Danio rerio: one gene and its partner. The protein of the gene in region 2 purifies or fractionates together with the protein of the main gene of each other region. This does not show direct contact. Links are inferred from orthologs where the notes say so. Each region holds a gene or a part of one and is shown on either strand. Other genes may lie near its edges.

Region 1 (4,146 bases), on a different chromosome or scaffold from region 2:
TTTCATGCACCATCACCTCGTGTTGATTTTCAGTTTTCGAGTTTTATATTCAAAGTGTGTAGAGACAATATTTTGGATAATGTCATATTCCAAATAATGAGGATGATGATGATGATGATGATGATGATGATGATGATGATGATGATGATGATGATGATGATAATAATAATATACTAAACAAAAGTTTTGTAAAAAAAAAAGATATTTAAATGTTTTAGACAAAAAGATGAATAAACAATTATAATATGAAATATTATTTCAATTTTAAATATCTGTATTGTTGTATGTAAATATGTTTAATATTCCAATGAGAGTTCAGAATTTGTTATGGTCAATTTTACTTGGTGCTCTATGATTAATAATAATTCTGCTTGATATTTCTGTTAAATACACAATACATTCAGCTTTCTAAAATTCTCAGAAGAAACTGTATTTGAAATAAAATGTTCAGTAACATTATACAGATTTTTTATATTACCTTTGATCCACTGAATTAGTCTTAATGTCTTTTTTAAAATCTATGGCATTAAAAGTTATAAATACATAAAATAAACGATTTATTGTTTTATTTATGCAGGAATTTGCGAATTTATTAACTAATTGATTTTTTATTTGCATATTAATTTATTGTTTTATTTATTTATTGCTTTATTTATTTACTTTATTTATTCATTGCTTTTTATTTTTTATCTTTTTAATTTGTGTATTTATTTTGTACATTTGTTTATTTATTTAGCATGTTTATTTATTGTTTTATTTATGCAGGAATTTGTCTATTTATTTATTAATTTATTTGTGTATTTATTTATTTATTGTTTTATTTATGCAAGAATTTGTATTTATTTATTTTTTGTGTATTTATTTATTTATTGTTTTATTTACACAGGGATTTGAGTATTTATTCATTTATTCGTGTAGTTATTTATTAATTATTTTATTTATGTAGGAACTTGTGTATATATTTAGTCATTTATTTATTTATTTATTTGCGTATTTATTTACTGTTTTATTTATGAAGGAATTTGTACATGTGTTAATTAATTTATTTATTTGCGTATTTATTTATTTGTTGCTTTTGCAGGTTTCGTCCTCCAGAGGTGTAGTGTAGTTGTCACATTATTTTTGCACTCTAATATTTCGTGACCAAAATACTGATGTGTTTTTTTTTTTTTTTTTTTTGCAAAATACGGGCCTCCCTATGTTTTACCAATAGCAACATCGCAGATGGCGATTGGAGCCAATCAGAAAGAGCGTGGTGAGAAAAACAACGCTCGTTGGGTCATCGACCCAGTGTCATAGAAAGTCCAGCCCCTTTCCAATGACGTCAACGGCGCTGTGTTGTGGGTCTGCTGGTAGCACTATCAAAACCTCTCATTACTGTACATAACACTGTATCGTTTAAATCAAACAATCTTGATCTACAGAAGGGCTGCACATTGCGGAATATCATGTCAGACACGGTGAGTCTAAACCTGTGATGCTGAATCGAACTTTCATGAGAGCAGACGAGAAAGACGGACTTATAGAAAATGAAAATAAGAGGGCCCAGCTTTTAGCCTGTCTAGCTGACTGTGGTTTGGAAAGTATTTTTGATAAAAATGCTTGAGTGTTTTTAACTGTGCATAGTTTCTGGTTCTCGCAATTTACACATTAGTCCAATTTACTGTGTTCACAAATGCCAAAAATATGTGAATTTCTTCCTCAAATCGTCCAATTAGCATGTGTGCTAGTTAGCTGCTCTGGGCCCTGAAAGCAGAGTTCATAATATCTTGAGCTGATAGACCATGCTGAACATTTGAATTAGTTATTAATTGTTGATTTTTTGATATGTTCATTAGGATTATTCGTTATTTGTTCACGTTAGTTTGTGTTCGGTTTGTGCTCGTATTAACAGCTCGCGATAGAAGAGTAACGTTAGGTTGTGTGTTTACATTCAAAGCACACACACACACACACACAGCCTAGTGTTTAAATGATAACAACACTCACAATATTATTTTATATATAATATATATATATATATATATATATATATATATATATATATATATATATATATATATATATAATTATAATTTATTAAAATCGGATCTACCTTATTTTATACGATCTTCAGTCAATATTTTATTGAATTCAGTCCCAAGATATTTTTTTAATTCATTACATTAAATCTGATAAAAAAACAATATGACATGCAGTAATCGAATGCTTGTTTTGTTTTAATAGGAGACCAAGCCCTCAAGTGATGGAGGCGAGAAGAAGGATGGAGAGTACATTAAACTCAAAGTGATCGGTCAGGTGAGCAAAAGCACTTGTTTTCTAGGAAATGCAGGTTTTCATATTTAAACCCATTACTGTTTAAAACCAATCCAGCTGTTCTTTTATAATGAGATATATGAAAAGATCTGAACAGATTTGATGATTTCCTTTCATTTCGCAGGACAACAGTGAAATTCACTTTAAAGTGAAGATGACGACACATTTAAAGAAGCTGAAGGAATCCTACAGTCAGAGACAGGTGAGTCAGTTTTTCCATTTATGAGGGATAACGATAAATCTACACTACCATTCAGAGGTTTTGGGGGGTGGGTAGGATTTTTAAAAAACGCACTAATGCTACTTTTATTCAATCAAAAATGCATAAAATCTGTATTATTGTGAGTATTGTTACAAATAGAAATACACTAACACTGTAAAAATCTTAACTGTGATCAAATTAATGCGTCATTGCCGAAACAAAAAACAATGTTTAAATAGTTGTGTATGTTTCAGTTAAGGTTCCTGAGGTCTCATTTATAAAACATTGCATAGAAACTTTCCTAAAAGTGAATGTACACCAGAATACATTTTTATTTATTTATTAATTATTATGGCTTTTATGATGATTTAAAGTGCTTGAATTAAGTCAATATTTAAGCGAAATGTGTTTACTTAAAGCTGCGCACATTCTCCCGTCAAGTTTGTTTTTTATAGATCATAATAACCTGTATAAGAAGTGGCGTACACGTGTTTCCACCCCCAATTTTGTGTATACCATGTTTATAAATGAGACCCCTGGACAGTTTATTCTCTCTTTCAGATCAATTATTTGAACCATGTTAGTTAAAACATAAAACGTCTGTAATGATCATCTAAAGGGGGTGGAGTAACAATTTATTAAGAGGAAATTCACATTAATAGATGCTTTTAGTTTTGGTACAGAAAATATTGTTACACACAGGATATATATATATATTTTTACCCATTATGAGTTTTGGTAATAAACATTTAGTTTGCTTGCCTCGGCTTTTCTTTATCTCTGCTTTCTTAAATGAAACGCAACGACACAAGTATTTACTTTCTTTTACAAATATTATTGACAATATTCCATATCATACTCTCTGCTATTATAAATAAAACATAAACCCATTATATAATGACATGCAATCTAATTCTGAAATATATATATATATATATATATATATATATATATATATATGTATATGGTCAAAGATGTAAAAAATATATTTATATTTATCTGTTGCTTATAAAGTTACATGTTTCAGAAATTACATTTTACAAAAGTATATTTTTGTATTTAAATAAATTACTATTACAGTTTTATAAACACTCAAACCACTGCAGAAATGTTGCATATATCATATACACTAAAAAAAAAGACTTTTGCGGCTTGTTCAAAGTACTTATATATAATTAGCTGAAACTTGTGTTCTTGAGGACAACTTAATTGTTTTAAGTTAAGCCCACTTAAATTTATGAAAAAAAATTAAGTTTAATCAATTTATGATGGGCCATGTAAAAGAAATGTGTGGACCATAGCATTTTTACAGTATATTAGAGATCAATTTTCTATACAAGTTAAAATCATTACCTTAAATGTTTGTTTTAACAGTTGCTGGAAGTGTGTAAACAGGTTTTTGATTGTAAATGTAGCTTTCTTCACGAGTCACTGCTGCGTTTAAAATGGCATAAATGTTATGGGAGTGCACTATGGAGATAGCACAGTTGTCAATTTGAAGTTTATAAACTGAACTGTAATAAGAATAACTTTAATATAAAATGTGAACAAGACAACCTTTAATGTTTTTAAATGATTCAGAGTATTTGTGTTCAAATGGACAAGGGCATAGGGTGGATGATTCAGAA
Region 2 (4,001 bases):
TTATCGACAATTTTTTAGACAGTTGATATTAGCTAGGATCAAAGAAACGTTATCTGACTAACAACGAGCAGCTAAATATGTCTGGAATAATATTCAAAGGCTTTTATTTTCATAAACGGTGCGGATGTGAATGCGACTGAGTGTTCTGATTGGCTGGAGTAGAAGTCTCACGTCAGCACGTTTTAAATGTGAAGGCACTCTTTCTGGCAAGTTCCCTTCTGCGTTCACACAGAGCAGCATTTCGGCAAATTACCGGTAATGTTACATCTTCACTTTCCGGAAAATTGCCGGAACGAATTTACCGGTGTTTTCAAAAAGGGCCTGTTCACACATGAGCCCTTTCTGGAAAATTGCTGGTAACTTTCTGGAAAGGTCTGTATGTGTGAAAGGGGCTAACAATGCACCTAACAAGAATGGATGTATGGGGAAAATATCGAAGTTGAAAACAAAGGTTGATTTTTTTCTATAACTTTGGCCATGACATTTAAACAGGTCACTTAAGTGCAGTTTGTGAATGATCTTAGATTATCCGGTGATATGGTCTGCAGACCCACAGAGATGTACCTTTTGCACCAATGCGTCCGGCTGTAGTTTCTGAATCTCCTAAAATGTCTGGGATGCAACTTTTGCTTTCACTTTCTAAAGTTGCCGTTATTTTTATGCGTTTTTGCATAACCTTTTCGCAGCTGACTGCACGAGTACGGTCGCGAGAGAAACAATAAATGATTATTTAGTAAACGACTCAACTTGATTTATTTGACCTTGTACTCGGAGAGAACAAAATAACATCTATACTTGCTGCAAAATATTTTATACACCATTAGAAATGGTTGATCAACTAATTTGTCTTTAAATAATCTACATTTTTTTTTTCTTGTCATTATTATAATTTTTAGCAATAATGTCGGTTTTATTGATTTTTTTTCTGTTATTTATTTCTCATTTGCTGTATGTTTTAATTTAATGATGAATTTAATGAAAATTAATGAAATTAATGAATTTAATATATTACATATACTTTATACATATCTAAAATGCTTTAGCAATGCAAAATGTCATGCCAATAAAGTAACTTTAGAGAGAGAGAGAGAGCAGCCTGTGTATCTGTAAGTGGGTGCACATGGCTACTGAATAGCATAAAAGTAACACAAATAGTGGATTTCTTTTATTTCAACGGCCTTTTTAATAACTCTTACCCATTGAAAAGAAAAAGAGTATAACATTGTCATAATAAATAAAAAATATGGTTAAAAATCACATTACTTTTTGTTTTCATATGTAGTTGACCATTTACAGTTGAAATCAGAATTATTAGCCCTCCTTTGAATTTCTTTTTTTAAATATTTCCTAAATTATGTTTAACACAGCAAGGAAATTTTCACAATATGTCTGATAATATTATTTTCTTCTGGAGAAAGTCTTATTTGTTTTATGTCGGCTACAATAAAAGCAGTTTTACAATTATTTAAAACAGTTTTAAGGTCAAAATTATTAGCCCCTTTAAGCTATATATTTTTTCGATAGTCTACAGAACAAACCAACGTTATACAATAACTTGCCTAATTACCCTAACCTGCCTAGTTAACCTAATTAACCTAGTTAACCCTTTAAATGTCACTTTTAGCTGTATAGAAGTGTCTTGAACAATATCTAGTCAAATATTATTTACTTTCATCATGGCAAAGATAAAATAAATCAGTTATAAGAAATTAATTATTAAAACTATTATGATTAGAAATGTGTTGAAGAAATCTCCTCTATGTTAAACAGAAATTGGGGAAACAAATAAACAGGGGGAGTAATAGTTCTGACTTCAACTGTAAAAGATGTGGGTAAAATATGTGTTTCGATCTGGTTACCACCGTAAGTATATTTCAAACCTGTGGGAAGCACTGCCTTTTTAACTTTCAATACTAGTCACATTCTAGAACAAAATGAAACTATTTATTTACTATTTATATCCTTTCCCCTCCCCTCTTTTTAAGGACTCATAGTATTAATAAACATTCATCTAACAATCAGGCTGTGTAATAGGTGTGTAATATTTAGTAAACTGAAGCTGGAACTTTGATTTCCAGGTTTGGCGTGCGTCCTCTGCCTAAGAAGCAGATGGTTCTGAAGCTGAAAGAGATCCATCAATACACCCACCAGCTGCAGAGCTCTGAGTCTGAGGACGAGACCTCTGGACCGCGGCGGCCTCCGATAGCCTCCAGCTCAAAATCACTCTCCTTTAAACAACCTACAGCGCCCCCTGCTGTCTCACCTGTCAAACTACCACCAAGAGAAGAAGAAGAGACTTTATCAGCATCTCAAAACTCGAACACATCTTCCACTGCAGAGTCCGAGAGGTACGGCTCATTTCTGCTGGTTACATTGTAACATGAAATACTGTTTCTGGGCCCAACGCTCTACTCATTTGAATTAAGAACACTCTCTCAATAGCTATTCATGACCACTGTTAAGGCTGTGATAACTATGTGATAACTATAACGAAAACAGTAAAGACATCACTCTAAAATATAAGCCAATATGGTGACCAATATGGTGAGTTTGGTACCAAAATCAAAACTTTTGACAACCCTAATCTGTTTATGTAACCATAATTATATTAGGGTTGTCAAAAGATCGATTTTGGTAAAATCAATACTTTTGATTTTCACTTTTTCGCTCATTCCAGGTCGAACCCAGAGCTGTGTCTGTCTGAAGATGAAGACTCGGACACTGAAGGCATCACAGCGTCTCAGGCTGTCGTGCGAGAGAAGGACAAACTCCTCGCAGTCCGTCAGTTCATCCTGTCCGATCCAGAGCTGTACAGTCGAGTGTTGCAGTACCAGCCTCTTCCACTGGCGGAGCTGCGGGCCAGCTTGAGAGCTGCAGGTATCAGGTTAGCTGCTGCTAAACTATTAGACTTCCTGGACTCTCAATGCATTACGTTCAGCACGGCCAAACAAGGCAAGAGCACAACTTCCCGTAGAAAACGACGTGTAAAAACCACAACTGCTGGAAGAGGGAGGAAAAAAACAACTAGGCCCAATGGGGGAGTCGCGTAAGGGCTGAAATCAAATAATGTGATAAAAGAACGAAGGAAAATCAGAGGTTGTAAAACAGGGATGTCCAAACTCGGCCCTGGAGGGCCGGTGTCCTGCATAGTTTAGCTCCAACTTGCTTCAACACACTTGCCAGGAAGTTTCTAGTATGTCTAGTAAGAGCTTGATAAGCTGCTTTAGGTGCATTTGATTAGGGTTGGAGCTAAACTCTCTAGGACACTGGCCCTCCAGGGCCGAGTTTGGAGACCCCTGTTGTAAAAAAAGCTCAAACTCAGGATCATAAAGCTTCCAATGAAAGAGTTTACATAAGAACTCATTGGGGTTTTTTATTTATGGGGCCCGCTTTGATGTTTATTTTGTACAGTGGTTGACGTAAATAAATTACTTTTTAATGAATTTAAATGAATGTTTGGATAATGTAAATAAAAGACATGTCTGTCACGTTTTTATATAATAGTTGGTACTATTGTTTTTTTTTTTGTGTTCTTAATTTCATACCGTGATTTAAAGTAAAGTCTCTTTGAGGCAGAACAGGGGCCTCATGTATCAACGCTGCATACGCACAAAAACTTTGCATACGCCAGGTTTCACGCTCACGTTTGGATTTACTAACGATGAAACTAATGTGAGAATGTTCGTTGGTCTGCGCCAACTTCATGTCTAGCGTACATGTACTTCTTGTCTACGTTTGTTTTATTTCCATTGGCGACTCCTAGAGGCAGTTATTTTAAATTGCACACTGCAAAGTATCGCACCAACACATGTGAAACACATTGCTTTAAATTTATAACGGTCCCACTTTATATTAAGTGGCCTTAACTAATATGTACTTACACAGGAATTAATAGTTATTTACAACGTACTTATTGTGTAAATACATGTATTTACTGTGTACTTATGCTTGATTAAATACATGTATGTATTTACATCTGTAATTAACTATTGTAATTACAT

What was found. Proteins that work in one complex are often made in the same cells at the same time.
Region 1: the proteins of slx4 (region 2) and sumo1 purify together in Homo sapiens (affinity purification with mass spectrometry; 3 studies listed by BioGRID, with this or other methods). This does not show direct contact. The link is inferred for Danio rerio from reciprocal best matches to the Homo sapiens genes SLX4 and SUMO1.

The regions. Positions count from the first base shown.
Region 1 is NC_133181.1:10,603,269-10,607,414, forward strand, and holds the start of sumo1 (small ubiquitin-related modifier 1), read left to right. Parts: upstream 1-1,346; 5' UTR 1,347-1,448; coding exon 1,449-1,460; intron 1,461-2,226; coding exon 2,227-2,298; intron 2,299-2,440; coding exon 2,441-2,518; intron 2,519-4,146. UniProt on the Homo sapiens protein: Ubiquitin-like protein that can be covalently attached to proteins as a monomer or a lysine-linked polymer.
Region 2 is NC_133197.1:27,531,225-27,535,225, forward strand, and holds the end of slx4 (structure-specific endonuclease subunit SLX4), read left to right. Parts: intron 1-2,078; coding exon 2,079-2,348; intron 2,349-2,677; coding exon 2,678-3,050; 3' UTR 3,051-3,501; downstream 3,502-4,001. UniProt on the Homo sapiens protein: Regulatory subunit that interacts with and increases the activity of different structure-specific endonucleases.